4 linked regions of the Caenorhabditis elegans genome follow. The protein of the gene in region 4 interacts with the protein of the main gene of each other region in a pairwise test. Each region holds a gene or a part of one and is shown on either strand. Other genes may lie near its edges.

Region 1 (7,916 bases), on a different chromosome or scaffold from region 4:
ATAGGCACAATGATAAAAAATAATTATTTTAATCCATTGCAAACCTTTTTTGTAGTTCTAATACTACACAAGTAAAACGTAATAAATTGAAAAAACGTATTCAGTTTTGATTTCAGAAAATGAAAGTTCAAATGAAAATTAAGCTGTCAAACAGAAATGCGTTATCAAATCATTACGTTTGACCAGTGGATTATTTTATGTCAGAATTGGAAAATTTGATTTTGAAATCATGAAGACTGAAGTATGTTTCAGAAAGAGTTCATTATATTATAATTTCTTGGAAAACCTAATGCATTGTATTTTCCTGTGAGCATTTATAGGTTTGTTAAAAAACATCTAAATTCATAATGAAAATTCAAAACTAGTAAGTTTATGTTTGAGTTAATGATCTATCTGCATTTTAAAGGTGAAGTAGCGCCAATGGGGATTTTGTCTAAATGCTCTTATTATGATCCAAAACGACAGAATATCATAATAAAAAACTGCAAAAATTTTAGACTTTTCATAATTTCCGGTCAAAGTTTTGGCAAATGGCCAAATTTCGAAAAATATGAGCTTGTGAGGAAATCCGAAGCATGGCCGCATGTTTAGACCCCTACAATGTTTAAATGTGAATAATTAAAACACAGTCACAGTATAAACAATGTAGAAAAACTTTTTTTTTTCGGACGACTTCCAAAATTTTGAGTAAAAACTAAATAATTGTCACTTTTTGAGAGTAAAAAAAAAATTTCAAAAATTTTTTGAATAGTTTTATTTTGATATTCCATTAATTTGAGACCATAGGCGTGGTTTTTGACAATTTCCCCCACTGGCGCTACTCCACATTTAAAGCACATTTTAAAAAAAATTTATGATAACTTCTCACAGGTGTAGTAGCGAAATTTGGATTAATTTTTTAATTGGGTCAAAATGACCCCAAAATATCGAATTTAATTTATTTTTATTTCTGAAAAAAATAAAAAATACAAAAAACTACATTTTTAACTTGTCAACCTATGTTTGTCATAGTTACCCAAAATTGATTTTTATTAAATTTTATTGAATGTTCTGTTTTTCTATGTATTTTTAATGAATATATTTATTGTTATGACTTTTTTCGTTGATTAAGTTGTTTTCAGGAGTAAGAAGTATTTTTTGCACCCATCAACTAATGTTTTCAGACCGCCGCAACTGTGACATGTTGGCAGAAATCTAGGTTTTATCTGGAAGAGCTAGGTTTTCAAAATTTTATCAGCCATTTAAAAAAATTGAGACTTTTAAGACATTTCAGATTTTGAATTTCTTAAAACAAATACAAACATTTCACAGAACCAGCCAGGTTTAATCTTTGACTCACCATTATAATACATGCTGCCCATTGTCACAGTAATGCTCTCGTATTTAGAATAACCGCCACCAGGTCGAATGTGGGTTTTCGATGTATCTTGTCTCGTGTTAACTGATTAGAATCGCTGGGTTGGACCTTGTCTTCTTATCACGGCTCACCGAGCCATTCGTCTGACTTTCTTATTTGCTCTTGATCACGTTATCACCTTTAATATTTCCCCACCTTACTTTTCCTATCAATGTTTCAAATGAAAAATGAACATTCCATATGGCAATTTTTTGATCTGTATAAAGTATTTATTGTTGAAAATGAGTAAGTTACCGGAGGAAAAAGAAACAAAAAAGTGAAAAAGTATATAGCAAACGGAAAAAATGCAAACAGGCAGGCAGCAAAGAGTTGGGGTTCAGATTTCTGGTACAAAGAGAAGAAAACAGTAAATAGCTCAAGCAAAAAGCTAGATTTAGGAAGATGTCGTTTGTTGGCTTTGACGTTGGATGTGTGTCGCGCGCTCCTGCAAAGAAAAAAATAACATTTTATTCTGCACGTAAATTTTTGGGGGTTGAATTACCTCTCCCTTATTGTTGTAAAGGATTGTTTGAACGTTGGCGCCAACACCGAATGTTTCGTCACCTTCGAAAATGAGCACTTCTGGAGGATTGGCGATTCCTTGTCCGCGGGCGAAGATCTGGAAATGTAGAAATTTGTCTTTACAGTGGTTTTTTTAATGTTAAAACACCTCACTTGAATTTCTTTTTTTTTTATGAAAAATGTTTTGTATGAAATTGATTGAAGGTGGAGTAGCGCCAGTCGGGAAATTGTTAAAAACCACTCCTTTGGTCCAAAAATGACCAAACATCTTGATAAAACTTTTCAAAAAAAATTTTTAAATTTTTTATTTACTGTCAAAAAGTGGCAATTACTCAGTTTTTGCCACTCATAATTTTGGAAGTCGATCAAAAAAAAAATTTTTTTTCGACATTTTTTATGTTTTAATTTTGTTTGTATTAAAACATTGTAGGGGTCGAAACATGCGACATTTCTTTGAATTTCCTCAAAAGCTAGTATTTTAAAATTTTTTGGGAATTTGCCAAAACTTTGACCGGAAATTATGAAAAATCTAAAAAAAATTTTGGAGTGTTTTATTATGATATTCGGTTGTTTTGGATCATTATAAGTGCATTTAGACAAAATCCCCACTGGCGCTACTCCACCTTTTAAATAAATAATTGCTTCTTTCAAATTCATTTCTTATTCAAACCTTATTTGAAAACATTTTTTTTCAAAGCTGACCTAAATAATCTCACATCTCATCTGTCCCTTTTATTGATTTCTGTGAACAACGTTTGTCTTCACAGTTTCCATCAATTTGTTTATCACTTTTTATTCCTTCTTTTTCTCCTACATACATCCCCAATCTTTCTTTTTCGAAGCAAAGTTACCCCCCCTTTAGTCATTACGGACGGATGACCTTGCCACACCCAAACGCAATCGCGCATTAGATTATCAATTCGACACACACACACAGAGACAACAACACATTTCATTCTGAGACACCAATTTGAAATGTTTTATACGCGACAGGTCCTGGGTAGCTAGGCTTGTTTCTGAAAGAAGTAGAAATTCGCAAACCTTGACAGATTGGAATGGGTGGAGGATGTAGTCGGATGGGAAGGTGAAGACGATCTCGCGTTTTCCGTCGATCTTTCTCTTAAGCTTCCAGTCTCCGAGTGGCTCTTCTTTGGCTCTGTGTGTGTTTTCCAAAATGACAAATTTGCCTTCTGGGGAGGTTTCCTGAAAAGAAATTATCATTATTGAGTATGTACTAAGTGATAAATTGATTATTTTTATGTCGGAATGATATTATTAGTGACTACAGTCAATGGCCATTGGAAGTTTTAAATTTTTGAACGTCAAAGCTTTATTTTAGCGAAAAAGCAATTTTCAAAAAACTTGAAAATAAATCCCTCACCTTGATCGCCACATTTCCTTTAGCTGAACGTTGATAAGATGTTCTGCTGGAGTGTTCTCCTTTGACTACGCGCATCGTTTCGGTGTCAGCCTCTTCATTGATTGCAGATGTGCGGACGACCTTCTCGACAAGTTGCCGAAGCCCATTTCCTTCAGAATTACCTTCCAACATTTGTCTGTAAACCTTGAGCTCCCCATCAAGGGTTTGTTTAGTGTCAAGGAGCATCTGGAGCTCGACCATGAGAGCTTGGCATTCTTCACGGAGCTTGCGGATTTGTGCATCCTTGTCATTGAGGGCAGCTTCGTAGGATCTTTGGTCATCCTCGAGCTGGTAGTTGAGATCTTCGATTTGTTTCTCAAGAAGAAGATTCCTTGATTCCAAATCAGAAAGCTTTTGGCGGAGCTCGGAAGTTTGATTGCGGAGTCTCTTCACCTCCTCTTTCTGATAGTTGTTCTCCGCGTTTTGGCGGTTGGATTGAGTATTGATCTCTTGAACTCTCAACTGGTACCAGGATTCCATGTCATTACGGTTTCCATTCATGATCTGGTCATACTCGGCACGAATGTCACGCATAGCATTAGCGAGTTCATTCTTGAAGTACTCGCGGTTTTCACTAGTGGTGTCACGAGCAGCTTGAGCCTGAAGCTCCTTGAGCTCAGTCTCAAATCCTCTCTTCATGAAGTCAATCTCCTCCAGAATAGTCTTCACCTTGTTTTGGTTGTCGATACGAAGAAGGGTTTCCTGGTCGAGCTCCTGAAATTAAAAATTGTATCTTTTTTTCCGAATACTTCATGATTTAGTCACTCACAATGCGAACACGTTGGAGTTCAGATGTGAGCCGGAAGTTTTCCTTTTTCAGGCGAGCAACTTCTTCCTCAAGGAGGGCGATGCGTCTCTTGAGAAGGTTGATCTCGGCTTCGAGGTTGGAAAGGGTAACCAAAAGATCATCAATCTTCAAACGATCTTCAGCACGCCCTCTTTGGGCCTCTTCAAACCTGAAAATAATATTCAATGTGAATTTTGTTAGATATAAACGGGACCGGTATTAATGGTATAGGATATACAAAGTTTCAACTTCTTAACGGAGTGATACTGGAGCAATGGCTAGAATTGCTCAAACTCTCCAGAATAGGATCCAGATTTAGCAGATTATCAATATAAACGAATCATTACGGTTTTCATATTTACTATGGTTTCTCATCTCAATTAAACTCACTTCTTTCGCAACTCGTCGAGTTGATCCTGAAGCTTACGAATCTCCTTTTCAGTCTCTCCGTGATCCTTTCCTGTCTGCTTGACAACATTGGTGGCAGTGGTGATCTCCATCTCATACATAACTTTCACAGATCCGGTACTTTTTCCAAATCTTCCTTGGAGCATCTTCAGATCGGCATCCAACTTTCTGTTCTGAGCATCAAGGAATCTGACCTTCTCAATGTAGCTAGCCAAACGATCATTGAGCTCCATGATTTCTTTCTTTTCACGCTCACGGTTGTCTCGGATGGTGGACGCAGCATTCTGTCCGTATGGGGAGAGTCCACTTGAAACTGAGGAAGAGTGAGTTTCGGTGACAATCTTCAGCACACGATTCCCTGATCCTGGTGCTCCATAGTTTTGACTACTGCTGGTAACAGTGCGGTTGAATGATGGGCGAGAGGTGATGGAGCTGCGGTAGGAATCTGGATCGGTCATTATGTCTGAAAATTTTAAATTGTTAGAAAAATCTATGTTATAATATATTGGGGAGCAAGAAAATAGAGAGAAGTTGAAACAATCAGATTGTCTAATTTGAATTGTTTTATGAAAACTTAGAAACAAAAAAATATAGCAATTCAGGGACAATGTGAGAAAAATGACAAAACCCGAGACACACCCTCTTGAGAATATAACTAACCACACCTACATAAGTAAATCGAGAAATTGAAAACTGGGAGGGGAGGTGGAGGGCGACATAAAAACTGCCTCACCTCTTCCTTCCCAACCCATCAACATTTCTTGTACACGAAGAAGGTGGCGGATCGGGAGGGGCTGGAGATGGGCGGCGCAGTGAAGATGATGGAAGGGAGCGGTTTTCTCCAATTTATCGTTTTTTTTCTCTCTCTCTTTCCTGACCACTTATCCATTCGCAATCCCCGCCTCCATTGGTGATTGCAAAAGTGACGAAGATGGACATGTTCCCGTAAGTGAATTATTGTTCTACTACCAGAAAAGGGTGTCGTCCAGATGAGTCAGGAGTCAGTTAAAACACGATTGGGTGTGGTTTTGATTAATGATTATTCGTCTTGAGAGATTGTGAAGTTTAACTGTTACATATTCTATTCAAATATTCGATTCGAGGTGACTAATTGATAGATTAAGTGATAGATATGTCAGAATTCACCCACTTGCCTCGAATTAAAATGATTAGATAAATGTGAAGAGACAGCAAAAAAGATTTTTAGTGATTGAACTTCGGCAAACTTCAAAGGAAACTTTCTTAAATGTTTGTTCTTAGTTTCAAAATGAAGAAACTAGTTTCAAAAAGTAATTAGTCAAAGAACTACAGTTTTTTTACACCGATCTAGCTGCAACATGAATTTTGGTTTTTTTTGTTGTTATTTTTGAATAATCAAAACAATTAAAAGCCAATAGTCTTATTTAATATTTGTGCTCTAGTTTTCGTTAATTAAAAAAGGAATATAAATAGAATTTGAAATCAGCTCCCTTAAATGATTTAACTACTTCTTTCTCCGTAAAGTGAAAAAAATTTGAGAAGAAACAAAGAAAATTTTAATTTTCTACTGTTCCTAGGTAGGCAATAAGCACAAGCTATAACTGTAATAAACTTTAAGGTGAAGTAGCGCAAATGGAGATTTTGCCTAAATACACTTATAATAGGCCAAAACCACGAGGAGAATTGCCAAAATTTTGAAAATATGAGTCTTTTAAGGAAACCCAAAGCAATGTCGCATGTTTCGACCCCTACAATGTTTTAATACGAATAATTTAAATAAAATTGCATTATAAAATATGTAGAAAAAAAAATTTTTTTTGGTCGACTTCCAAAATTATGAGTGGCAGAAACTGAGCAATTGTCACTTTTTGACAGTAAATAAAAAGTTTTCCAATTTTTTTGAAATGTTTTATCATGGTATTTGGTTATTTTGAGACCATAGGAGTGGTTTTTGACACATTCCCCACTGGCGCTATTCCACCTTTACAACTGAATCAACTAACTGTTGTTTATTAGAATATATTAAAACATATAAATTTAGATGTCGAAAATCAGTGAATAAAAAATTAGTAAGAAGTAGTTTAGGTCATAATGAAATGGCGCTCAATGTTAGATCAAAAAATATAAACTGAAAGACAAAGAATGGATGAAAATTTGAATTGAGTCATGGCAAAATACTGCATGAAATAAATAAAAAATTACGGTTCCGTACAATTTCGGCTTGAAAATAAGAAGAAAAAATTAACTAAGATGGGGAAATTTCTCGTATTGTTATCCGAGCAAGGTTAGATTTATGAAGTTGTAGTCTGTTGGCTTTGGCGTTGCATGTGTGTTGCGCGTTCCTGCAAAAAAAGATTCTAAATACTTTTGAAATTTTGGCTTGAGTTACCTCTCCACTGTTGTTGTAGAGGATTGTTTGAACATTGGCACCAGCACCAAATGTGTCGTCACCTTCGAAAACTAGAACTTCTGGAGGATTGGCAACACCGTTCCCGCGGGCGAAAATCTGGAAATAGACCGTTTTTTTGACAGTTTGGCATGCAGCCTGAAAAACTTTAATTTTTTTGTCGCTAAAATTTTTTGAAACATCACTTTTTTCTGGTTCTTAATTGTTTTTGATGTTTTTCTCTGTTGAAAAATTAGATTATATCAGTTTCAGAAAACATAACTAGATGCTTCCCAGTCTTCTATCTTTTGCTACATAGCCAGGAAAAAGTCCACTCATCATTTTCAGATGACCTTGTCACACCCCAGTGCGCATCAGATTATCAATTCGACACACAGAAATGACAGTAACACATTTCACTCTGAGACACCAATTTGAAATGTTTTATATCCAACATTTCCAAATTGTTAGATATAATTTTGAATTCTCAATAAAATTTCACAAACCTTGACAGTTTGAACCGGGTGGAGGATATAGTCGGATGGGAAAGTAAAGACGATCTCGCGTTTTCCGTCAATCTTTCTTTTCAGCTTCCAATCTCCGAGTGGCTCTTCTTTGTCTCTGTGCGTGTTTTCCAAGATGACAAATTTGCCTTCTGGGGAGACTTCCTGAAAATAAATAATGATTAATTAATGCAATTAGAAGAAAATATCAAATTTTAAATTTTGTTCAATCTTAATTTTGAGATACGATTTCAACTTCGAAATCAGAAACATCCTGTAACTTTCGATTTAAACAAAATGAATTTTGCAGATAATGAATTATTTTCCATCCAATGAGTACTTTTTCTGTTTTGGATATAGTGTTAACAATTATAAAAATTTTTCTAACCTTGATGGATACATTTCCCTTTGCGGAACGTTGATAAGATGTTCTGCTGGAGTGTTCTCCTTTGACTACGCGCATCGTTTCGGTGTCAACCTCTTCATTGATAGCAGATGTTCTGACAACCTTTTCC
Region 2 (6,783 bases), on a different chromosome or scaffold from region 4:
GAGTATGGAAGAACGAGTAAATCATTGTGAACATCAATTGGAACTTGTGGTAGAGCAGTGACTGGAGTTGAAACCACTTCATTCCAAGATACAACTCCTGCTGGAAGAGAAGATCCAACTGGTTTTGGGATGACAATGATCTTTTGGATGTTTGGCGATTGCTTCACAGCAAGAAGAACTTTTGGAAGAAAATCTTCGTAAGTAAAAACAACCTTTGCGCGAGAATCAACAAATTGACGTTGAAGCTCATCTGAAAACAGAAATTGCGGGTTGGTGAAAGTAACTTTCATCAATTTAACTTACAGTCAGTGAAAAGTGCACTAGCTCCAGATACAGCTCCACCGTTGATGGCACATCCAATGAAAAATGAAGTATAGTGCCAGACGTTTGGAAGAACAACAGCAGCAACATCTTTCTAAAAGATATCAAAAATTTAAGGCATTGTCTTGAACAAATTGAAAGATTTTTGAAATACTTCCTTTCTCTTGTTGAATTATAAAATTCCCAAATTTTTAACATAATGCCACATACCTTGAACCCAATGCTATGAAGATACATAGCGACAGCAAAAGCATCCTTACGAAGTTGTTCAAAAGTAATGAAATGTTTTGGATTATCTCCGCTCACAAATGCAATTTTATTCTTTCCATCGGCAATTGTTTTATCAATTGCATCAAGGAGCATCTCATGGTACGGACGCTCGGAAATCTTCACTGGTGGATATGTAGAGTCGTGTGGCATGGCTGAAGTTTGAAAAATAAATGAATTTAGCAATAACAATCAAAATATAAGAACTGGGCAAGAGGACAGCATGGGTAGCCTACAGTGTGGCCGAAGGTCAATTTAGAAAAAGATAGAGACTGATAAAGACGACAGTTGATAATAGTAAATAGGAAAACTACAGTGCTTAGACGTTATAATGTGGTCCATTTATTGTAGTCTTTGTTTTTTGGCAATTTATAACATTGATTCAACTGTTGAGGAAAAACCGTTAGAAAATTAAAAAAAAAACCACATGAGCGCGGGAAATACTTATCATTTCAGTTTCCGATGCTCATAATCCTAGACAATTTCAGTTAATACTCAATGAAGACAACGAAAGAAAAAGAATAAATGTACACAAAAAGGGCATATTAATGATAAGGGTTGCAAAACGAAAAATGGGCTATGAACAATAAAATAAAAGATCTGTAATCGTAATCAGATGTTTTTAAAGATCTGAAACTTGGATTGTACGTCATTGATCATATTAAAAAGATGCTCAAAACAAGGAAGTACTGGCCAAATTTCAACAATCAAAGTTCTCGTGACGATTTGACAGTAAAAAATGAGGTATTGTGAACATTTTCTAAATTATAGTTTTTTTCCAACCGAGAAGTTATTTTAAGTTATTATTTTCAATCTTCCCCATCAAATTTAAAAACAACCCCTTTGAAAATTACGGCTAAAAGGCATTTATTATTTTTCTGCTAAAAAATTTTCGGAATGAGTTAACGTTTTTTTTTCTAATGAAATAGAAATCATACTAAAAATAGTTATGTAAACTAACTACAAAACAAAAATTGGATTCTTTGTATTTTTAACCAATTTTACAGTTTTTACAGTGACATAATTTCCTGAAACGAACAACGAGGTCTGAAAGTACAAATTTTCTGAAGCTTTGAAGAACATGATGGTTTTGCTGAACCGACAGCGTGTGTTACACGAGACATTTGACATCGATGATAATGAAACGGAATTGATGTTATCAGTTGGCCACGATTGCATGTCATTCATTTTGTTATAAATCAAAATTGAAATTACATTTTGGAATAAAGATAGAAATATTGAAAAAAGCATTCATTCAATCAGCCTATATGGAAATTGACTTTTACAAAATTGAAAAAAAAAATTATGCTGGCATTCTGATGGTGATAGCAAATCCTCCTTTGACATTAAGAAGACACCTAAAACAAAATTATTTCAAAGAACCTATAATTCCGTATTCTTACTTTGTGTTCGGTTTTATCCTAACCATGGTCTCCGATTTCATTGCATAAGTGAACCCGCTCTCTTCTACGACCGCAAATGTGTTTTCCTAAATGATACATGAATTTTTTTTGGGATTTTTCTGTTTTTGCCATACCTGCAACCAAATTAGCAACTCTACAGTTCCACTTTCCAAATCATAAGATCCCTCTCCTAGCAACATAACTTCAGTTTTGTACTCAGGTGCTCCATAAATTCTCACTGGTCCGTTTCTGAAAACTTCTCAAATTAACTATCCGAAACAAAACCAACTAATTTCTTACTTCACTTCACTGATATGATCATAGATAAATTCTTTTCTATTAATAGGTACGGGTAAATCAGTCCATCTTGCTTCGTATGGAGCATTGCATGCAAATGTTCCTTTTCCTGGTTTACCTGAAACAAAAAATCGGTGAGCTCACACAACTACAAACCAACCAGTTTTGAATTCATTCGATCCATAAAATTCTTTGATTAATGGAGGTAAATCCTTGACAACATCAGTCAAATAGAACCATCTTTCAAAGAGTGTGATATTGGAAGAACCAACAAGAAATCGAACACAATCAAATTCAGTATTCTTTCGTTCACGTTCAACGACAAGACCAATAGAGTTGGAAAATCTTTGAGGTGAATGTTCTACTCTTGCTGGCAACATGAACATTTCCCCTGAAAAATAGAGAGCTCAATTTTGAGTTTTGATTCAGATTATCTAACATTTGTGAAAAAAATAATTCCAAAAAATTTTTGACAACACAGATTTAGTTTCCGTTTATAAATTGTGAAAAATTCTCAATTTTCAGTCTAAATTTTTTGTTCATGGAATTTTAATTTAAAAAGCTAGTTAAAAAGTTATCTAAGAAACCATGTGAGTTTGTGTTATTAATTAATTAATTTACAAATTCAAAAATAAATTTTGTGATGAATCCTACCTTGCTTGATTACTAGATCACGGACTTGACCCTTTTCAATCACTTTCAGTACCATATCCCCTTTTCTCTGGAAGAAAAACTCTTCTCCTTCTTCCAAATGAAAATCTTTTCTTTGATTTGGTCCTCCAACGTAGAAAACTTTCAACTGATCCGAGAACATACACTTGTTACAAACAGGTGGTACAAAATCCTCTTGATTATCTTGAATCCATTGTGGAATCTCAATTGCAGTAACTCCGCTCATTGTTATCACAGGTGGTTCTGCCAGTTTGAGTTGAGGCTTCTGTTGCTCTTCGGTAGAAACGGAAGTCGTACAGACTACTTGCTCCTGATGCGAAATGAATAATTTAGTGGAGGTGAAGCAACTCATCGATTGACAAGGGAATTAGCTCAAGACGAATTGGTAGAGAACTGAGAGATCGGGTTGAAATTGAAAAAAGACTGGAATATATGAATGGCAAGTAAAAGTGACATTTTGACCTCTATAATTATCACAAGAAACGAGAAACGGACAATAAATCGTCGAGAAATACCAATACAAGGCGTTCTTGGGAACGCTTTGAAGTTCAAAGGAACAAAGCATTCGTACCCACCTATTACAAAGTTATGCATGAGAACACATTTTGTAAGTAGTCAAGTTGCCAAAAATTGATTTTAAGCCATAAAAATAATCCTCAGATGCCATAAAGAGAATATGAAAATTTACATAATTTTGAGAACGGCAGTGAGTGTGTTCAGGAATTGATACGATTATGAGCTAAGTACAGTAATCCCCAGATGAAAATTTCGAATTCAATAGAATGTTCAGAGAGTCTCTAAAAGGTTTGGATGTAATAAAAGAGATTAAGAATAGATAATATAATAAACGAATGACCTTCTTTCATATACACCAATTAATAATATAACCTGCCATTCTTCTTACCTTCAGTTTATATTTCTCATATAAATATTGCAGTTTATTGGGTTTTTTGGAACATAAGTTGACACATTCCATCTCCGAAACTTCTCTTTTTCTAACCTAAATTATAAAGCTAAAGTCATAGACGATCGAAGAATTTGTCAATTCGATTACAGTAACATAGACTAAATCACCCACAAAAAACCGAAATTTTTCAAAAAATTGTATGTGGTTGAGACAAAGCGGTGTTAATGTCCGATTAACGCGACGAAATGATAAACGTGCAATGTCACATCTTCTTAATTTCGCCCATCTTCTTCTTCTTATTTCCGTTTTTTGTGTCTTTTTTACATTTTTCTTATTCTCGTATCTAAATCTCCGTGATTTGCTTATTCTTCGCTGATTCAAGTGTCGCTTTTCAATTCTTGATTAATGATAAATGTTTGACCGTCTTAAGGAACTGGTACCCGTTTATTTCGAAAAATTGAGAATTGGGAGTGGGAGGAGGAGAGAGAAGCAACATTAAATTGGTGTTGGAGAGAAAATTGATAGAAAACCTGAGATGCTTTGACCAAAACACGAAGCATTCTGGGTTACATGACTGTTGGAATTGGTGACGATTTCAAATTTTTCTTCTTTTTTTCCGTTGGATACACGAAGAACATCGAGAGAAGTGAACCATCCATACAGAAGAAGATCACGTTGGCTAACTGAAAAGTTGTAAAATTGAATTTAGGATTATCTTAACACATTTATTGGTGCAAAAAATTGTCCACATACTTGAAGTTAGTGTTTTACATCTAAAAGCAACGAATTTTCAAGAATGAAGCGTGGCCTAGAAACTGAGAAAACTCGGTCACTTTCAAAAAGTTGAATTTACACGTGGTGTCAGGCTGTCCCATGTCGGTTTGATCAACGTAGATCTACGAGAATTGCGGGAAATTAGACGCTGACTTCTCTACTGATTTAGCATGGTTAAGAGCGTGCTGACGTCACATTTTTTTGGGCAAAAAATTTCCCGCATTTTTTGTAGATCAAACCGTAATGGGTCAGCCTGGTGCCACGTTATTAAGAACTATCTCAAGAAATCTTCTCCGAAAAACCAATAGAAAAACTATTTTAAGTACATTACTCTCAATCTTCAGAGTGTTCAGAAAGAACCTGTGAAAATTAAAGATAAACCGCCGACCGAGTTTTAGATCTTTCTAGGCCACGTCGAAAATGTGACCCTTTGATTTGATAACAGTTAAAAAATTCCGAACAAACCAGCATGTAAAAATCATCAATACCAATACTATAAACGATCGCGTGGAGCTCCATTACCCACGTGAAGACCACTGGAGCCAGGGGTACAAAATCTATACATTTCGATGTTACTGCTTTGTACTGCAAAATGAAATTTGGAGGTATGGGGAATTGAACCCCAGACTTCTCGCATGCGAAGCGAGCGCTCTACCCCTGAGCTATACCCCCGACGGCTAAACGGGTAACTAGTACTTACTATTAGATACGGACAGACCAGAGACCCAGCAATTTGAGCGCCAGATGCGATGCGGCCAGTGAACTGAAAGAGACATAGAGAAATGAGAGTGTATATAAGAAAAAGGGACGCAGACACTCACTTCTTTCCCGTCTTCATCATTCATATTACCAATGTACAAGAAGAGTAAAGACAGAGCAGCTGCAATTCCAGTCATTAGACGAATTAACTTTCGCTGAAATTAAAAACAAATATTTAAAAAGAACAAGATCCAAATATAAATACTCTTTTGGTACGGTAGAAAATGAGTGCAATCACGAAGAATAGTTGCATTGAAACTGCATATGTCTGCAAAAGGATAAGCTTTGTGTCCCGAAGAAATATTGAATACCGAAGCCATAGTGCAGACCTGAAACTTTTGGAATTCGTTGTACAGTTTTATTATAGCAGCAATTACAGAACCATTACAGTAATCCAGTTTATTTTGTGAACTGAATACTGCAATATCGGAGAGTCGGAATAAAAAGAGAGGCAGAAAAAATTGTGCCCTGGCTTTGAAACGGTGATCCGACTATGCCATATTGCAGTATTCATGGAGCAAATGCTCTCTCGATACAGTACTTCATATTTAAGAGAAACACAATATGATATATTTGGGACGTGATTGGCCTATATAGGATCTTGATAGATGTCGACTGCGAATTCAAAAAAAGTTTCCCAAATGTTCGTTATTTAATGCCCAAGCTACAAGCTACGAAATTGGCAGAGTGACAATTATTCTATTGAAAAGTGTAGGTTTGAAACGTTATAGTTCTGTTGGAACAAGGCTTAAAGAGTGTAATGAATGATATAAGAAAACATGAGAGCTGAAGATGGAGATGGATCGACAATTTCCAAATAAGCTTGAGAAAGTTAATGAAGAAATAAAGTAACGTTTCACTTCAAAATTGTTTTTTATTAGATGCAATAAATGGAAGCTAGATGGCAAAAGATGGTATCTACCAAAACCGTATTTCTTTACGTAAATGCAAATCTGATAGAGGTGAAGGGAATTTTTCATATTGTTTACGCTGCCAAACTACTCATGATCTTCTAAGAAAATTCATGAAGGACATCTCATATTTCAAAGAAAAACTGATCTTGATTGCGGTGAAGGTGGTAAAGTAAAATGGTGAGAATTAGACAAGTTACTAGTACAACTACAACTTAAGTTGAACTTTGTACAACTATGAGCATTTCTTTGTTGTTTTTTATTTATATCCTATGAACACAACTCAAAAACGTGTGCAGTCGTACCACTTTTTTAGATTTTGTCAAGTTCGAAGTACTGGAATATCACAAAAAATAAACAACGTACAAAGTAAAAAGTCGGAAAACTAAAAAGTGTATTTAAGTACACACATTTTGCCTTATTTAAGTAACCAAAAACATATATTTTGATACATTCGTGGTGTCAGAAGTGT
Region 3 (7,184 bases), on a different chromosome or scaffold from region 4:
ATGGGGGTGGAGAGAAGAAGTTGACTACTACTGACTTACAAATTACCGCCTCCTCCTTCCCCGTTGCCTAATACGGGTGAGAGGAGGTCAACATGTGTGGTGGGAAATTGAACGGAATTCGGAAGGAATTGAAAGCGATTTGGGGAGGGAAAAGTTATTACTAATTGTTTTCCAGGTGTTCTAATTGTTTCGAATTGGCAAATTTACAATCACTAATTTTTGTAATTAAATAAATGAAAAATTACTGTTTCAAATTGTCTTTTAAAGCGGCTAACAGAACTGAAACGGTAATTTTTTTTGTTTTTTTTGGAAAAAAAATAGACTGTAGAAACAGCTGCTCAATTTTTGTAACGTCAGAGATGTGCTTTTTTTGAACTGGGAATGTACATTACTATGACTAATTACGTAATGTATTTTGAATTTCTTACTTTAAATGAATGTTCTATCAAATAAATTCATATCCGTTTCTCTCTCGCGGCAAACACAATAATTTTCTCGAAAAAAACATTGAATTAATTAAAAATATGAAACAGCAGAATTTTTCAAATTAGAAAAAAAAACTATCTTCGCACTATTCTCGCATCTGAAATATTGCTTCTAAATCACAACCAAACACATTAATTATTACTAGTGAAGCAGCTATTTTTTTCTGAAAATTATAAATTAAATTTAACATATATTTTCACTAAAACTACAAACTACAATTTGAGCACAGTAAAAAATTGCACAACTTTTGTAAAATCGAATTTGTAAAACGAATTAGTGTTTCTTTATACAGCAACTAATCCCACATATTTCAAAATAAGTAATGCAAGTGAAACAGTAAATTTAACAAAATTAACCTAATTTTCAAATGATTCTCAACCGAGCTTAAGTTCAATACCTATCCAAATCCCAACCAGTTTTTCATTCCAATTCCAATCCATCTACTTTCTCTCTCCACCTGTGTCTCTCACCTCTACCATACTATTTCTCCCACCTTTTCAATCGACAGTTTTTTTGCTGTTTCGGTTTCTACTGGATACACGCCTTTGGGGCGTGGAAATAGAAGAAGATGGATGGATTTTGGAGGAAAAGTTGAAGGAAAACTAGAGAATGCTGGGGCCCGGATACTTATTATTTCTTTGATTCGATTTTCTTTACTTTTTCCCCAGTTACAACAGATTTTGGAAAATTTCACGAAATTCAATTTTCTTTTGTTTCTTTGGATGTTTTTAAAAAGGGATTTTGTAGTTTGAAAACTTGAAAGCTTACAGAAAATTTTATGAAAATTTGCATTAAATTTTCTGCAGTTTCACACTCTTTATTTCAGCGTTATAGGGGTTTTTGCAACATTGCTTCAATTTCAATTTTTCCTATTGCTAAATATAGAAAAAAAAGCGGTGGCGAATTCTTTATGAAATTGTCTAAAATCCATCTTGTATACGTTTCAAAAAAAATTATGCTGTTTCAAAAATGTAACTTGTTAGCACAGAATATACGGTTTTCGTTCAGATTCGTTTTCAATCTCAATTTTCAAAATCTTCAGTTGAAGAAGTTATCTTTTTCTGTTTTTTCTTCGTAAATCTGAAAAATAATCACTGCTTCAAGTTATTTACGATTTTTAATTGATTTTGAAATCTAACTCAATTACTTTAATTAATTCTGTCATGTTAATACATCTACAAAAATAAATCTTACTCCTATATTTTTCATTCAATTTCAGATCTGATTGACTTGATTTTCAAGAGTATAGCTATTGCTAGAATTTTTAGTTGTTTTTAAATTTATCATTGATTTTCCGAGTATTGTTTTATTCACTAAAATTTCCAGATTCACAAAAGTTTTTAGTGAAAAATAAATCAGTGAATTGAAAATGTTTTAATTTAAAATTCAGATTTTTCTCTCAATTTCTCACTCTAGCCGCTTTAATGTTCTCTTCTCTCAATCTTTTTGTTAATTTTTTGAAACAAATTATCACTGTTTCAAGTTTTTTTAAAAATAATTAATCAATTTTCAATTTTAATTTTCACATAAATTGCTTTCGCTTTCATGATGTTATTTTCAAAACAATATTTTTCACTATTTTCATTTGTTATATAAAACATGGTAAAACTTCCCATTATACTCTCTTTTTGCTTTCTTAACTCTAGTTTCCAAATTAAAATTAAAAAATTGTTTCTAAACTTCAATTATATTTTCCTAAAACTTTCCACGAAAATTAAAATTCATTAGAATTTCTTACAGTTACGAAAAAGGAGCCAAACTTTGAGATTTGAATTCAAGTTTTCCACTTTATAATTAAAAATGAAAATTTCTTCCTTATTGTAACATATCATTTCGTTAATTTTTTAAACCAAAACTTTAAAATTTTCCTGTTTCACGTTGTTTATAAGAAACATTGATTTTTTAAAAACATTGCTCGGTGGATTTTCTGAGTCTTTTTCAAAAAATAAAACAAAACTTTTCTCATGTTTTTATTGGTTTTCAAAATGTCATATATTTTTTACTTTTCCAATTCCAACTACAATTTTTCGAAAACCCAATGCTTCAATTTTTCTTCCATAACTTTAAAGTTAAATTAAATTTGATTTTATTTCAGCCAGTCAAATGCCATTTGCTTAAAAAGCGAGGAAATTTATCATCAGTGAAGAAGTGTAAAACATCTATTAAAAATGATGCGTCGAGGTGGATCGATGGGTCCACCGAGCGGGGATCCATATCAGAGGTTAGTATATTGTTTTATGAAAATAATTTAAACACAAATACAAGGCAAATTTGATTACATATTGAGATAGTCAAATTTTACAATTGAAATAAAGTTTTTAAAGCTTTAAACTTGTTTTGTATTGAAAATCCAAGTATTTGATAATTACTCCCAAAATTGTGTCAATTTTCTAAAAATTGCTGACAATCTAAAAGGTGTGAGACGAATTAACTCAACAAACTAAGGAAAGCAGAACTAGAAAATATTTGAACTTTTTTTTGAAATAGAAGTTATGAAACGGTAATTTTTGCGAAATTTTTTAACCTAAAATTTAACTTCAACGTATTTGAAAATCCATTACTGCAAATAAATTTTGAGACTGAAATATTTCTCAAAAATTGACTATTTCGCAATAGATGTTAAATGAAATTTAATAAGTCACCAGAATTTCAAACAGGATGAAAATGAAAAAAAAACAGCTTCAAACATTTTTGTTGAAGTAATTTTTTTAAATCTAAATTGCTTCCAGCGACTTTTTAGAGCTGTTTTCTGTATGTTGATGGCTCGTAATACCCTAAAATTCATTTTTTTTCAAATAGAAAAAAAAATCGAAAATATCGCTGTTTCAAAGAAATGTTATATTTTCAAAGTTTTATCAATGAATTGTTCTGCTGACCTTTTTATTATGAGAAGATCAAATTAAATCATTTATCAAATTGAAGTCGATCCCCTATGAAAGTTCGACTAAACTGACTTCAAACCGCTTTTTAAACCGAAAATTGCAACATTCTTACTGAGTCAATAAAAATTAGAAAAATTAAATGAAGATGCTGAAACTGTAGAGTGTTTCAATTTTCGGTTTAAAAAGTGGGTTGAAGTCAGTTTAGTCGAACTTTCATAGGGGGTGGAATCCTTTAATCAGAAAATTTTAAACTGGATGAAAGAAGAAGTAAAAACAAACAAATAACTGCTTCAGATTCATGTTATTTAATTTCTGAATTTACTTTTCCGTTAAAGAATTTACTTTAAACTTTTTTTTTAGCAAATTAAAAATAATCTTTAAAAATCTAAATCTTGAAAAAGGAAAAAAAAAATGTGAATATCAAAATTTTGACCGTTTCACATTGTTTTTTTTTAATATTGACATTTTCTGGTAGCATAATATCAACAGAAGAATATTACTTGTTAATAAAAAAATATTAAGAAAATTAACTATTTCGCTTTCCTTATAAATATTCGTTATCAGATTTTATAAATTAGTAAGCTCTCGGAATTTTCTTAAATTTTCAGTTTTAAAGTCAAAACGACTTCCTTAATGTTCTAGAATAACTCAATCAATTAATTAACCAATTAATCCGTTGAAATGTCCCAGTTCGACAGGATTTATTGAATTTTCGAAATGAAGTTGATTAATTAGTTTTCAAGATGAATATCTTATTTCTCTGTTTCACCACCACACCTCTTTGGGTGTGGTTTTGGAAACTTATTTGGAATGTGAACGATTTTCCTAATGCCAATGAACTTTTTGCATTTTTTAAATTAGTTTTTTGAAACAGTGATTTTTTGTGAAGTCGTTTAATTGTAAGTTTTCAATATTAAACACCTTAAAAGTTAATTTATTGCGAAACCCCCTATAATAATGATTAGAATATTTCAAAAGTTGATTTTGAATTACTCTGATAATGCGTTTGAAATAATTTTTTCTGTTGAAACTAATTTGTTTTTTATGGTTTCCCTGTCTTCTGCATTTTTTTGAAAGCACATCATTGATAAAATGTTTCTAAAGTTTTATATTAAACATTTGGAACCGTGAAAAATTTTAAAACAACTCCAATATAGCTAACTTTTTTACATGTGCTTGTTTTTTGGAACAGTTTATTTTTTGTGCAAATTTTTAAGTATAATATTTTCAACATTTTACCATGTTTCAATGTAGTATTAAATTTTACCTCCACCATAAAAAATTATTGATTTCAATCTTATTGGTACATAACTCAAATGTTGAAAAAAAAATTTGTTGCACAATTGGAACTGTTTCAGAATTTCCCTACTTTCAAGAACAATTTTTTTTGGATATCGCAGTGTCCAAGTTTTCGAAAATTTTAGTCAGAAACCTGAAACTGTATCAATTTAAGCAATTAAAGTAAATTTAAAAACAATTATTGTATTCTTAAAAACCTGAAAATTGAATTGTTTAAAAGTGTAATTCACTGGAATTCATCAATATTCAAACTTTTCACATATTATGTAGCAAAGTGAAAACAGTAGAATTTTTAAAAAATTTAGAAAAGTCCTATACATTTTCAAGTTGCGATCAAAAATGGAACAAAAAGAAGCTGTTAAGTTTTGCTTATTCAGTCAAACTGTTACTATAAAATATAAAATTCAAAAGTTCAAGAAAATCATTTAGATATGTAACCAAATAATATTCGACTAATTTCTAATGAAAATACCTACCTAAAATCTAAAATCGTAATCACGGTTTCACAGAATATTATTTGGTTACATATCTAAATGATTTTCTTGAACTTTTGAATTTTATGTTTTATAGTAACAGTTTGACTGAATAAGCAAAACTTAACAGCTTCTTTTTGTTCCATTTTTGATCGCAACTTGAAAATGTATAGGACTTTTCTAAATTTTTTAAAAATCTTTGTGAAAAATGCGACTCTCTCTTAAAAAATTCTCTGTTTTTGTATCAGGGGTGTGCGGCAAATTTGCCGATTTGCCGAAAATTGCCGACTTGCCGAGCTCGGCAAATTTGCCGATTTGCCAAATTCGGCAAATTTAAAAAAACCAGCAATTGCCGATTTGTCGAGCACGGCAAATTTCAAAAAAGTAGATTTGCCGAATTTGCCGAGCTCGGCAAATTTCGAAATTTGCCGCACACGTCAAAAATTTTACAGTACAATTTTGACTAAAATTATTGATTTTTTCGCCAAAAATTTAGTAAAATGACACAAAATTGAGTTAGTTTTATGCTTAAGCAGACATACTACACGGAACTAATTCAGAAACCAGATGTGTGTTAAGAATTCGGTAGTTTTGGTGTTCCAAAAAACATCAAAAATTATCAAAATTTTCCGAGTTTGTTAAGCACGGCAAATTTGCCGAATTTGCCGAATTTGCCGTGCTCGGCAAATATTGAAAAACCAGCAATTGCCGATTTGCCGAGCTCGGCAAATTTTGAAAAACCAGCAATTGCCGATTTGCCGAGCTCGGCAATTTTTTCCATTTGCCGCACACCCCTGTTTTGCATGTCTTCATCGACTGCGGATCGTTACAAACATTAAAACAATGTAGTGAAATTGTATACCATTAAATTTCAAATGAAAGTTAATTTTGGAAATTTTCTGAAAATTTCACTGTTTCGACAAAAGAATATAACAGTTTTCTTTTTGCGACTCCAATTCCGTAATGTTGTATTTTCCATGCATAAATTTTTAAATTAAAAAATACTGATTTGTATTTTTTGTAATAATATACTTTCAATCATAACCTTTGTAAAATTTGTCAGAAAACCCAAAAAAAATTGATAAATACATACCATTTTACGTTTTTCTTACTTTGACAATGGTTTGAAAAAATTAAAATTCACCAGTTGCTTAATGAAACATCTATATATTTTTCTCTCTTTTTAAAGAAAAAATCGCTTAAAATTAGACAAAAAACATTGAATCACTATAATGAAATTGTTTAGAAAAAGTTAATTGTGGAAATTTGAAAATTTTTCACTGTTTCAACAAGTAATTTTAAGATTTTCCTTTTTGACCTCTTCAGTTCGTTGAAAGCTGAACACTTACATTTATTTAAAAAAAGTTAATTTCCAGGAAAAAATGTACATGTACAATTTTTTGAAGCACCTGAAATCAAACCAAAAAATTAATGTAGTGAAATTGTATAGATGTAACTTTGTGTAATGTTAATTTTGGAAGTTTTTAAAAATTTTCACTGTTTCAACGAATAATTTTTGAAAATCTCCTTCTGATTCGTTCAATACCGACGCTCTTCTTTTGAAATTAAACCAAAAAAATTAAAACACTATAATGAAATTGCATATAATCGTGTTTATAAATTATGGAAATTAAAAAAAAAATTCACTGTTTCAACAAATAATTTTACGATTTTTTGTTTTGACCCCCTCAAAAAATGAAATAAGTGTGGTGAAACTGTAATTTTTAATTTCAATTTTCACTGTTTCACCGGATAATTTCAAATTTATTTCCTTTTGAGCTCTTCAATTCCCAACACCGTCCCCCTTTTTATACAAAGCTTCGTACATACACATATAAATATGATTTCTCCGTCCGTCCAACTGATAAATGCCAAAATGTTACGTGCATCCCTGCTCGGCGCCAATTCCTGTCTGCGTCTCTCGCATTCTCCACGCTCTCTCGACGATTTGATGTTTAAGGAGAGTAGGTGTTGAGTGAGGGAGAATGAGAGAGGTACTGATAACGAAGACAGAGGAAAAAGGAGCTATTGTATGGAAAATGAC
Region 4 (8,945 bases):
ATAAACGTTTTTTTTTCATTAATAGACAAAGCATATGCAATAAATTAATCGAACAGGCAAAGGAAATGACAAGGCATGATGACTAAAAGGTTTTAAAATCCAAAGAAAAATCGAATAATCTAATTTGAAAATTTAAGAATCGCGGTTCATGTATTTTTGGCGATTAACTTCGATCATCTGCCATTTTCGATTGTCGAATACTCCACGCCACGTACCAGCGTCCAATGTAACCTGAAAATTGTTATTTAGATATTCTTCATATTTAATGTCAAAACTACGATACCTGGGTTCGACACAACAGTTTTTGCTAAATACAAAACGGATGTGCGCCTTTAGAGAGTACTGTAGTTTCAACCTTTTGGTAGCTGAGGTATTTTCATCGATTTGTCATATTTACTCTCACGATTTATTAAAATTTATGTTTTTTATTGTTTTAATTTAGTTTTTCCAATAAATGAATGTATTTGTGTCGAACAACTGAAAATCGATGAAAATTCTGTCAGCTACGAAAGTTTTAAATTACAGTTCTCTTTAAAGACACACGGCGGTTTGTATTTTACAAAAAATTGTCGTGTTGAGACCGGGTACAGTAGTCTTAGGCTTAAAAATCTCAGTATTTCTGGGCAATTCATCGAATTTGTAGTTCCTAACCTTTCCAGTTTGACCATCCGATGCTGATGATGAAATTTTACCAGCTTTCAAATTATTAACAGTTGTAGTTTGACTACGAGTTTTCTCCAAATCACGTCGAATTGCAGATAAATGGAATGATGGAAATGATTGTTTGATTCTCATTGCACATTCGTCCATTTGACGAGGATCCGCAAGTCTAGGTGAAGTCTTGAAAATTTTCATTTTTTAAAGAAAACAAATTATTGGAAACAAATACCTTCTCTCTAACGACAACTTTTTTCGCACGTTCTCTATCTGTTCTAAGCCGTTTTGCTGCTTCTGTTGCGTCCGAAATTCCAAACTTTGACACTGCAATCTTCAAATTTCCAGCCAACGTTTCGGCAACTCGGGCGGTGAATTCTTCGAGTGATTCCTAGAAATAATTGTTTTTATTTGGAAATTCCAATTTTTCTTTACATTCTCTCGTCTTTCCATTTTCGGAAGATATTCGACAGTGATAACAGTAAACGGAAGTGCAAAGAAATAGAAAAGATCAGTCCACCATGAAGAACCCAATACTGAAACTGAAACTTTCCAAGGATACGGACGCCACACACGCACTGAGACGGGTTGAACTACTGAAGACACCTCGAAACACCAAGTACTGAAAATTTAGTAGATTTGGGTTCGAGATTCATGATTTTTGCGCCAAAACTACGGTACCCGGTCTTGACATGACAATTCTTTATCCGACAAAAAGTGTGCGCCTTTAAAGAGTACTGTAATTTAAAATCCTAATTTATGCTGAATTTTCATCGATTTTGCATAGTTTTTCATTAAAAATGTGAATTTTATATTTTATGAAAAAAACTATGAAAAATTGATGAAAATGCGTAAAAAGATTTTTAGATTTTTTTTCACAAATTTGTAGTGACAAACCATATTTTTAGCTGAAAAATCTTGAAATCGAAATCACAAAATATTTGGAAAGTTCAAATGACATACTTAAACTTGATCAATGCCTTTTCTCCACTAGTAATAATTCCTTCTGGAAATGCGAGAAGTGGCATTTGTTCTCTGGTGAGTAGTTGTTTGGCTCTACTGACAAGTTGATCTCTTCCACGTGTTGCTCCCAAATCTACATATCCAAAACACCATCTAATAATCGATGGAATATCCCAAACAGATGGAAGAAGGCATGGAGTAAGAATATCAACTGCTAAATGATCAAGAATTGATACATGATTGGCGCACAAAACTCGAGCTGATTCATCTCTGAAAATCTTTTTTTTTTAATACTAAGAAGTTGTGAATATCTCGGCAAGCAAAAAACATTTTAAGGAATAGTTAGTGACCTTTTTTTTTTAATTTTTTTTAGATACACTAAAAATTACCGAATTTCATTTTGCAAAAAAAGTACAGCACCCGGGTCTTGAAAAACTTTTTTTTTGTAAAATATAAATGGATATATGGAACTTTTGTTGCTGCGGAATTTTTGAAATCAATTTTTCAAAGTTTTTTCGTTAAAATAAATTTTTAAAACTAAAATAACACTTAAAACACATTGATTTTAACAAAAATCGTAAGAAAAACTATGAAAAATCAATGAATCCACAGTAACGAAATTTTAAAGCTACCGTACTCTTTAAAGGCGCACATGTTTTTGTATTTAACAAAAAAATTGTCATTTCGAGACCAGGTACCTCACTTTTGGGACAGAAGTCGCAAAAAAATTTGCGCCTGGGCAATACGGCAAGCTTCCAATTTTTCAGTAACTTGTTTCTATTTTTTTGGAGATATCAAATATTTTTCAAAAAAAAAATCACAAACCTGTGACCAGATTTTTCAACGACAATTCCGAGAATTGAGCACATAATTCGAAGAGTGTGCATTCTCAAAGCAGCAGATTTTCTGAGTAGACATGCAACAATAAATGTGTGGAAACCGAGGAAAACACGAATTAAAAGAATAATTAAACCTGAAATTTTGATTTTTTAAAACTTTTACTTTTTGGAATGTGTCAAAAAATTTGAAAAAAATCTCACCAACTGGAGCATAAATAATCGAAAATATTTTAGCAATCGTATCTTCATTTCGTTTTTGATGGAATAAATCTTCGATACGAAGATCTTCTGTATTTCCAGAAGACGATGCTTCTGGTGATGCCATTCTAAATTTTAGGATTTTTTTAAATTTTTCATGGTTTTTTCAAAATATAATGTTATGGATAATCAGGTAGCCTATAGAAAAAATAATCTGAAAACTCTTTTCAAAAACCTACCAAGCAAAATCATTTATTTATTGACTTTTAGTCATATTTGGCACACAAACGCACATATCTTTCAAACTTGAATGTAATTGAAAACTAGGGAAACGTTTAAATAGACTTTGGCTCATTTTTTGTGAATAATTCAGATTAATTTATGATAGAAAAAGTGTGGTTTTTGGGGAGGGGGCGGGGGCTTATGGAAAGTAAAACAAACTATTAATTTTGGAAAGTAAATTATAGGGGGGAGGGGGGGTAAAAAATGGGAAAAAAGTAAATGTGAAAATCCTAAAAATCTAGACGAAAATCTATCCTAGTCGGAGTTTTTATCAGATTTCAAGAATTTCGAATGAAAGTAAAATGGGATAACTTCTGTGGATATAAAACAGAGATAGTTCACATGAAAGAAATGTGGGGCGATCCTCGAAAGGACAATTGACTTTTGAATCTTGAATTTTGAGGCACTTTCTTTGATAATTAAAAATAATTATTGTTGAGAATCCGATGATCCTTGTCCTGGAAATTGTTCTTGCTGCTGTTGTTGTTGTTGTTGTTGTTGTTGAAGTTCACGCCATTTTGGATCTTTTTTGGTGAGCTGAAAATCATAAGAATGAAACAAACTGATTGATAACGCCAAATAGCGGAGAAAACATGTTTTTAAAATAAATTGTGTTGTGATCAGTGATTTTTGATGTTTCAATCGGAATTTTTTCAAAGCAAATGGTTTCAAATTGAGAACAACATAAATAAAATCTTTTAAAAAACGAAAATTGTTACTAAAATTCAGAATTGAAACTAATAAAAACATACCACTTGTGCTCCATCGTTAGAGTAGAAAATTTGATAATCTTCAGTCCTTTCGCCAAACAGACGAGCTCTGCAAAAAATTAAACGATTTATCAAAGTAGACCTCCCATGGGCTCACCTGGCTCTCGCAGCTTCAATTTGCCGGATGCAATGACGGGAAAGTCTCATGTCAGCGCGCATTTTCGTCACGGTGCGACATTTGATAGCGTCTTCCATTGCTCTGTAGTAATGAGCATCTTTCATCATTTCTTTTGAGATTTCTTCCATATCTTGATCTTTAACTGTTCCACTTGAACCATCCATCTCAAGAGCCTCTGCCAGCGTAAGCATCGGTTGCCTCTCGGAAGATGTTGAAGAAGTGGCAACATCTTCAGACGATGAGTTTCCCATAGAATCAATGACTTCTTCGACCATTTCAACTTCCATATCCGTTGCTGGAATCAGATACTCATCAGAAACAACCACCGGAGAAGATGCTGAGAAGTTTGGCGATGACTCGTGATGGGAGAGTGTTGGTCGTGGAGTTGATGTTTTTTTTCGTGGTGAAAGGATCAGTGGTCTTCGGGAGAGCACACTCTGAAGCAATAAATTAGAAAAAATATCAAAGTCTCCTAATAAATAATTCTAATATATTAAACTTACCGGTCTCTTAGCAGGCCCTTTTTCTTGTGCAACAGCTCCCATAACTCTTTGAGAAAAGATCCCGCCAGGAGAGGATGAAGTTGGTGGTCTTGATATGACTCCAGAAGATAATGAACGTCCTCCACCAAGTGATGCAGTAGCTGTGAACGATTCTAATGGAATCTGATATTTAGCCATCGAAGGACGAACTCCAGCAACAAAAGATCTCGCGAGCATTGATTTTAGAGGGCGTTCTTCCGGCTCTTTTTCTACTGGTGCCGGTTTTGCGACAGGAGTTGCTGGTTTTTCAACTTTTTGAACAGCACTCTCCTTAGTTTTCGATCGTGTATTTCTGGCGATAAATTTTTGACTTGTTGTCGGTTCTGGTGTCTGCTCCGAAGATGTCACTTTGTCTTCTGGCTCCGTCTGAATAAAAAACATTATCCTAGTAATTCGAATTTCAACATGCTACAAAGTAAAAGAGGAATTTCAAAAGTTACAAATTAAGTTCTAATCTATTATTTAATAAATTCAGTAAATAAAACTCACCGAAGAAGTAGCAGCGATCCCTTTGGCCAAATTATAAGCCAAGGCCTTTCTCGGCTTCTTCGTTGCTGCTTCTTGTTTCTTGAATTGTTTGGCATTGATCAATCGCTTAACTTGCTGAGATCTTTTCTGAACCATTTTGGCAAATTGTTCATCTCGTTCCTTCAAACGAAGACGTTCACGTGGATCATTTGGTGAAACTGTTGGTTCTCTCTCTACACTTTCAGGAGTTGGATCGTGTTCTTCTTCGTGTGAAATTTTCCGTTTCTTAGCTGGAGTTGATGGAGCTGTAGCAGGAACTTCGTGTTTTGCCACCTTCTTGATTGGTGAATTTGTAGCGGAAGTTGCGAGACGTGTTGCTTTACGTCGTTCACCAGATCCCATTGGAGCTTGTGGAGACTGATGGGAAGTTCTAAAAAATTTAATTGCTTCTTTGATTTCCATTTAGTAAGATTTTTTAAATTTCGTTACGCAGGATGTTCTCTAACTCGAACATTTTTTGACAAAACTTACAGTTCAGAAACATCGTCTGACTCTTCTTCTGCATGTTTTTTCTGACTGCTCTCTTGCTCCTTCGTTCCTTGAGCCGATTCTTCTGCTTTTGTATTAATCTCTGCTTCTCTTCTCAATTGCAGAAACACTTGTCGCTGCATTACGTTCAGATCATTCACACTTGTACCACCTTCTTTTCCAACAAACGATAATGTCCTCACTGCCTTCTTTCTCTTCTCTTCATCGTGAACCATTTTCGTACGCTCTTCTGGATTTTGCACGTAGGCTTTTTTCGTTGGTGAAGGTGTGAGTACGATTTCATTTGCTGGTGGTTCACAGCCGTGATATGCCACATAAACGTTGCGACGAGTCCAGTTATCCCAGCTTTCCGCTGGATCCAACTCAGTAGCGCGGCAGTTCATTTTAGCGAATTCATATATTCTACGAAGATGACAATGATGAATGGGGCCAGCATTCAAGTGACGACGATATCCAGATATTGTCTTGTAACCATATGTGCATTTTCTACAGAATGGGCACATGAAGCCAGCTTCTGGGACCTGTGAAAAATATTAATTTTTGTTATAAGAATTATGTGATAAAATAAGAGTATTAACTAAAAAGCTTGAACTTACATCCAAAACATTATCTTTTTTCTTGAGCATTTCCTCCGTGTGATTGAGAAGATGTGTCTGAAGCTCGACAACACTGCACGAGTGGAACTCACATACGGTACAGACCCATGGCACTCTGGAACTTTTATAAAATCGTGAAAGAGGATGTTTTAGCCAAAAATCGAGCTAACATATTCATTCACAAGCTTTTTCGTTTCGAGCAGAACCAGCTTTTCTTCTTACCTTTTTTTACTCGGTGTCGTCTTAACGTCTGGTGAAATAGCAACAGGAACTCCAAAAGCTTCGATGGCAGATTTGTTGAAATTGTGATTCCTGAAGCACTCCTCGGCGAAGTGCTCAGTACAAATTGGACCGGCAGCAATTGAAAACGATACAGGACCCATTTTACTGCGAAGAATATCTTTGTATTTGAATCCAAGCAAATTTGCCCAAATTCTGCGCCTATCCAAGTCTGCTGGGAAGTTTAGATGCATCTCTCCCGATTTCATTACTCGATTACAAACTGTACATGGCTTATGAGTCAAATTGGAGTATGGAGAAAACTTCTTGAAATGATCAACAACATATATTCTCAGTCTCCCATTTGACATCCGGTACACTTCTAAATGCTCTCCATCTGGCGGAGTTCGTGTCATTCGGCTTAAAGTCTCCGGAATAACTTGGCACGGAAAACTGGAGTAGACACTTTCGCCTTTGCCGTGGATAATTTCTTCTCTTGGTTGTGACGACGAAGCTTGTTTAGTTGGAGTGACTTGGCTTTCATCAAGAACTTCACCACTTGATGTGACAGTTGGCATTACGGGAATCTGAAAATAAAATGATGTATTCTATTCCGGCCAATGGGCACATGCATTAATACGAGAATGAAAATGTAAACGTACATCGTGTTCGTCCTCATCTTCTCCTATTACGTCAACATCACCCTCAGTTTCCTGCAATGCGTCTACAGTTGAGGATTCTTCACCAGAATGCTGTGAATCCTAAAAATGCATTGATATTCATAAGCGGCGAGAATGTTTCTCAATTATCACCATACCTGTTCAACTGAGTGCACCGTCACGTGTGAGTCTTCTGGTTCTTCAATATCATTATAATCCCTTTTACTGGGTCTAGTACTCAGCAATTCTTCCGACATTTCCTGCAATCAAATATTTTTGGAAAAGCCTTTCTTTTGCAAATTCTACACATTTTGAGCACAAAAACAGAAAATACAGTGAATTTAATTGTTTAAAACGCTCAAGAGATACAAATAATAACGAAAAACATTGATAATAAGTGAAAAATGAGTCGAAAGTGTAAAAATCGATAATTGTCCGGCCAATTTTTGTACAATTCTGGCTCCCACTCATCTGATGTACGCAAACACCGCCACGCGCGGTTGCGTACTTTTTCTATGACGTCTCTCCGTTTGCTACGCTCTCTCGCCGAACAAGCGACTTGGAACTGGAGGGACGTTGAATTGATGATATCAATATGGAGACAGGTCATTTGTATAAATGATTGACACCAATTTATCCAAAATACCACGGAGATAACACCAGGAGTTTGAGAAGTACATATTCGTTAACAATAAGTGATTTAAAGCAGGGGAATTAATTAATTACAACGGGAACATCATAAGCTTGGAACATTTCGTTGCCAAATTAAATCGAACGGAAGACAGTTTTCTCTAGGTTCAGGTATAGTAGAAGCTTGAGCAAACATATGCGTATAGTAAGTGATGTTTACTCAGGTACTCATATTCTATTAGATACCGTACCCCGAAAACTAGAAATAGGATTTCTAGTTTTCGGGGTACGGTATCTAATAGAATGTCTTCCAGAAACGATTATAACAGACACGTAATCTGGGTGGAATGCTGAAAAATAATTCTGATTTTTATTTAGAAAAATTATTTCAGAAGATGCATCTTCCTCTTAAGATGCTCTCAATTTTTCTTCCGTACACAATTAAAAATCATAATCTGGTGACAGCTCATACAGAAGCGCAATTCTTGCCCTGGCTTGTGAAGTGATTACATTTTTCGAAAATTATAATGTATTATTCGTCTGAATACAATACTTAGCACGAGCAAAAGATTTCAAAGATGACAAGTCATTAGACATCTCTTCATAAAAGCGATTACGGTATAACTTCTTATTGGGAGTCGACTTAAACCCCCAAAGACAAGAAACACATTAAAAAACAAATAGTGAAAAATTCTTAAACTCAATAACAAACAATCAGACTACCGTACTCACACAAATGAAAGTTTTCTGCCATCTGTACTTTTAATATCCGGCCTCTCTAGGGAAGCATTTGTAAAAAAATTGTTTCATGGTTTAATCAAGTTACAATAAATTGTAGCTCGCGTAAATGTTCATGCATGAATCTTAAATTTCCAGGTGTCAATTTTCCAAAAACCTATCTTCACTTCTCAAGTCTAAAATCTCTCGGATCCCTTCCTTCTCCTCCCCCGATTTCACTGATCAAGTCCGTGTGCAACTCTGCGTATCTTCATCTTACACACTATTCAGTGTTTAATGCTCACTCAGGCGGGCTCAAAACAGTGTAAAAATGGCCTCTAAACCCTCTTCCGTCGTTCTGCCAATTTCTCTATTGCCAACAAAACAACCAACATGCCATCCATATCACTACTACTACAAGAGTTTTTTTTGAATAAAACCAATCTCGCATACTTTTTCTACTTTATGAAGCATCAAAACTCAGTACAATTTCTATTTTTAGATGGCTGACGATGAAGATGATATAGTTTGGATTCGTGAAGATACAGCTCAATCATCAGTTCCAACATCTCCAACAACTCCAGCAACTATCATTGAAGCTGCACCTGTATTGAGTGATGCATTTGATAAACCAATTCTAAAATCAGTTGAAACTATTTCTGTATCAAATGGACCACCTGAAGTCACAATCAGTGCTCCACCACCAACTCCTCCAGCTGCTCCATTAGCCCCACAGATAAC

What was found.
Region 1: the proteins of lin-36 (region 4) and mua-6 interact in a two-hybrid assay, tested with the Caenorhabditis elegans proteins (3 studies listed by BioGRID).
Region 2: the proteins of lin-36 (region 4) and haao-1 interact in a two-hybrid assay, tested with the Caenorhabditis elegans proteins (3 studies listed by BioGRID).
Region 3: the proteins of lin-36 (region 4) and eps-8 interact in a two-hybrid assay, tested with the Caenorhabditis elegans proteins (3 studies listed by BioGRID).

Annotation. Positions count from the first base shown.
Region 1 is NC_003284.9:16,260,691-16,268,606, forward strand, and holds mua-6 (Intermediate filament protein ifa-2), read right to left. Parts: upstream 4,997-7,916; 5' UTR 4,992-4,996; coding exon 4,516-4,991; intron 4,295-4,515; coding exon 4,108-4,294; intron 4,053-4,107; coding exon 3,300-4,052; intron 3,122-3,299; coding exon 2,960-3,121; intron 2,016-2,959; coding exon 1,899-2,015; intron 1,842-1,898; coding exon 1,791-1,841; 3' UTR 1,599-1,790; downstream 1-1,598. Other genes in the region: Serine/threonine-protein kinase sgk-1, read right to left, coding at 1,340-1,361; Intermediate filament protein ifa-3, read right to left, coding at 6,804-6,854, 6,902-7,018, 7,405-7,566, 7,790-7,916. UniProt on the Caenorhabditis elegans protein: Cytoplasmic intermediate filaments provide mechanical strength to cells. Essential protein, involved in attachment structures in epidermal cells that connect muscles to the external cuticle.
Region 2 is NC_003283.11:9,502,092-9,508,874, reverse strand, and holds haao-1 (3-hydroxyanthranilate 3,4-dioxygenase), read right to left. Parts: upstream 3,966-6,783; 5' UTR 3,865-3,965; intron 3,271-3,864; 5' UTR 3,187-3,270; coding exon 2,943-3,186; intron 2,680-2,942; coding exon 2,449-2,679; intron 2,407-2,448; coding exon 2,292-2,406; intron 2,241-2,291; coding exon 2,126-2,240; intron 2,078-2,125; coding exon 1,992-2,077; intron 1,947-1,991; coding exon 1,892-1,946; 3' UTR 1,757-1,891; downstream 1-1,756. Other genes in the region: acs-14 (4-coumarate--CoA ligase), read right to left, coding at 1-250, 304-415, 532-741; swt-5 (Sugar transporter SWEET), read right to left, coding at 4,434-4,550, 5,107-5,226, 5,342-5,404, 5,463-5,555, 5,606-5,729. UniProt on the Caenorhabditis elegans protein: Catalyzes the oxidative ring opening of 3-hydroxyanthranilate to 2-amino-3-carboxymuconate semialdehyde, which spontaneously cyclizes to quinolinate.
Region 3 is NC_003282.8:14,876,909-14,884,092, forward strand, and holds the start of eps-8 (SH3 domain-containing protein), read left to right. Parts: upstream 1-2,654; coding exon 2,655-2,707; intron 2,708-2,761; exon of another isoform or gene 2,762-2,782; intron 2,783-2,920; exon of another isoform or gene 2,921-2,941; intron 2,942-3,133; exon of another isoform or gene 3,134-3,155; intron 3,156-3,353; exon of another isoform or gene 3,354-3,374; intron 3,375-3,458; exon of another isoform or gene 3,459-3,479; intron 3,480-3,698; exon of another isoform or gene 3,699-3,719; intron 3,720-3,848; exon of another isoform or gene 3,849-3,869; intron 3,870-3,943; exon of another isoform or gene 3,944-3,967; intron 3,968-4,020; exon of another isoform or gene 4,021-4,041; intron 4,042-4,173; exon of another isoform or gene 4,174-4,196; intron 4,197-4,428; exon of another isoform or gene 4,429-4,449; intron 4,450-4,651; exon of another isoform or gene 4,652-4,675; intron 4,676-4,741; exon of another isoform or gene 4,742-4,762; intron 4,763-4,885; exon of another isoform or gene 4,886-4,906; intron 4,907-5,931; exon of another isoform or gene 5,932-5,952; intron 5,953-6,096; exon of another isoform or gene 6,097-6,118; intron 6,119-6,466; exon of another isoform or gene 6,467-6,487; intron 6,488-6,683; exon of another isoform or gene 6,684-6,704; intron 6,705-6,830; exon of another isoform or gene 6,831-6,851; and 3 more.
Region 4 is NC_003281.10:8,013,757-8,022,701, forward strand, and holds lin-36 (Protein lin-36), read right to left. Parts: upstream 7,118-8,945; 5' UTR 7,115-7,117; coding exon 7,016-7,114; intron 6,960-7,015; coding exon 6,861-6,959; intron 6,786-6,860; coding exon 6,202-6,785; intron 6,101-6,201; coding exon 5,980-6,100; intron 5,905-5,979; coding exon 5,366-5,904; intron 5,265-5,365; coding exon 4,856-5,264; intron 4,733-4,855; coding exon 4,328-4,732; intron 4,262-4,327; coding exon 3,804-4,261; intron 3,756-3,803; coding exon 3,689-3,755; intron 3,474-3,688; coding exon 3,366-3,473; 3' UTR 2,892-3,365; downstream 1-2,891. Other genes in the region: F44B9.5 (Lipid droplet-regulating VLDL assembly factor AUP1 homolog), read right to left, coding at 133-231, 652-840, 890-1,045, 1,090-1,276, 1,618-1,887, 2,443-2,590, 2,658-2,781; F44B9.2 (uncharacterized protein), read left to right, coding at 8,707-8,945. UniProt on the Caenorhabditis elegans protein: Required to negatively regulate vulval development. Antagonizes Ras-mediated vulval induction. Acts cell autonomously.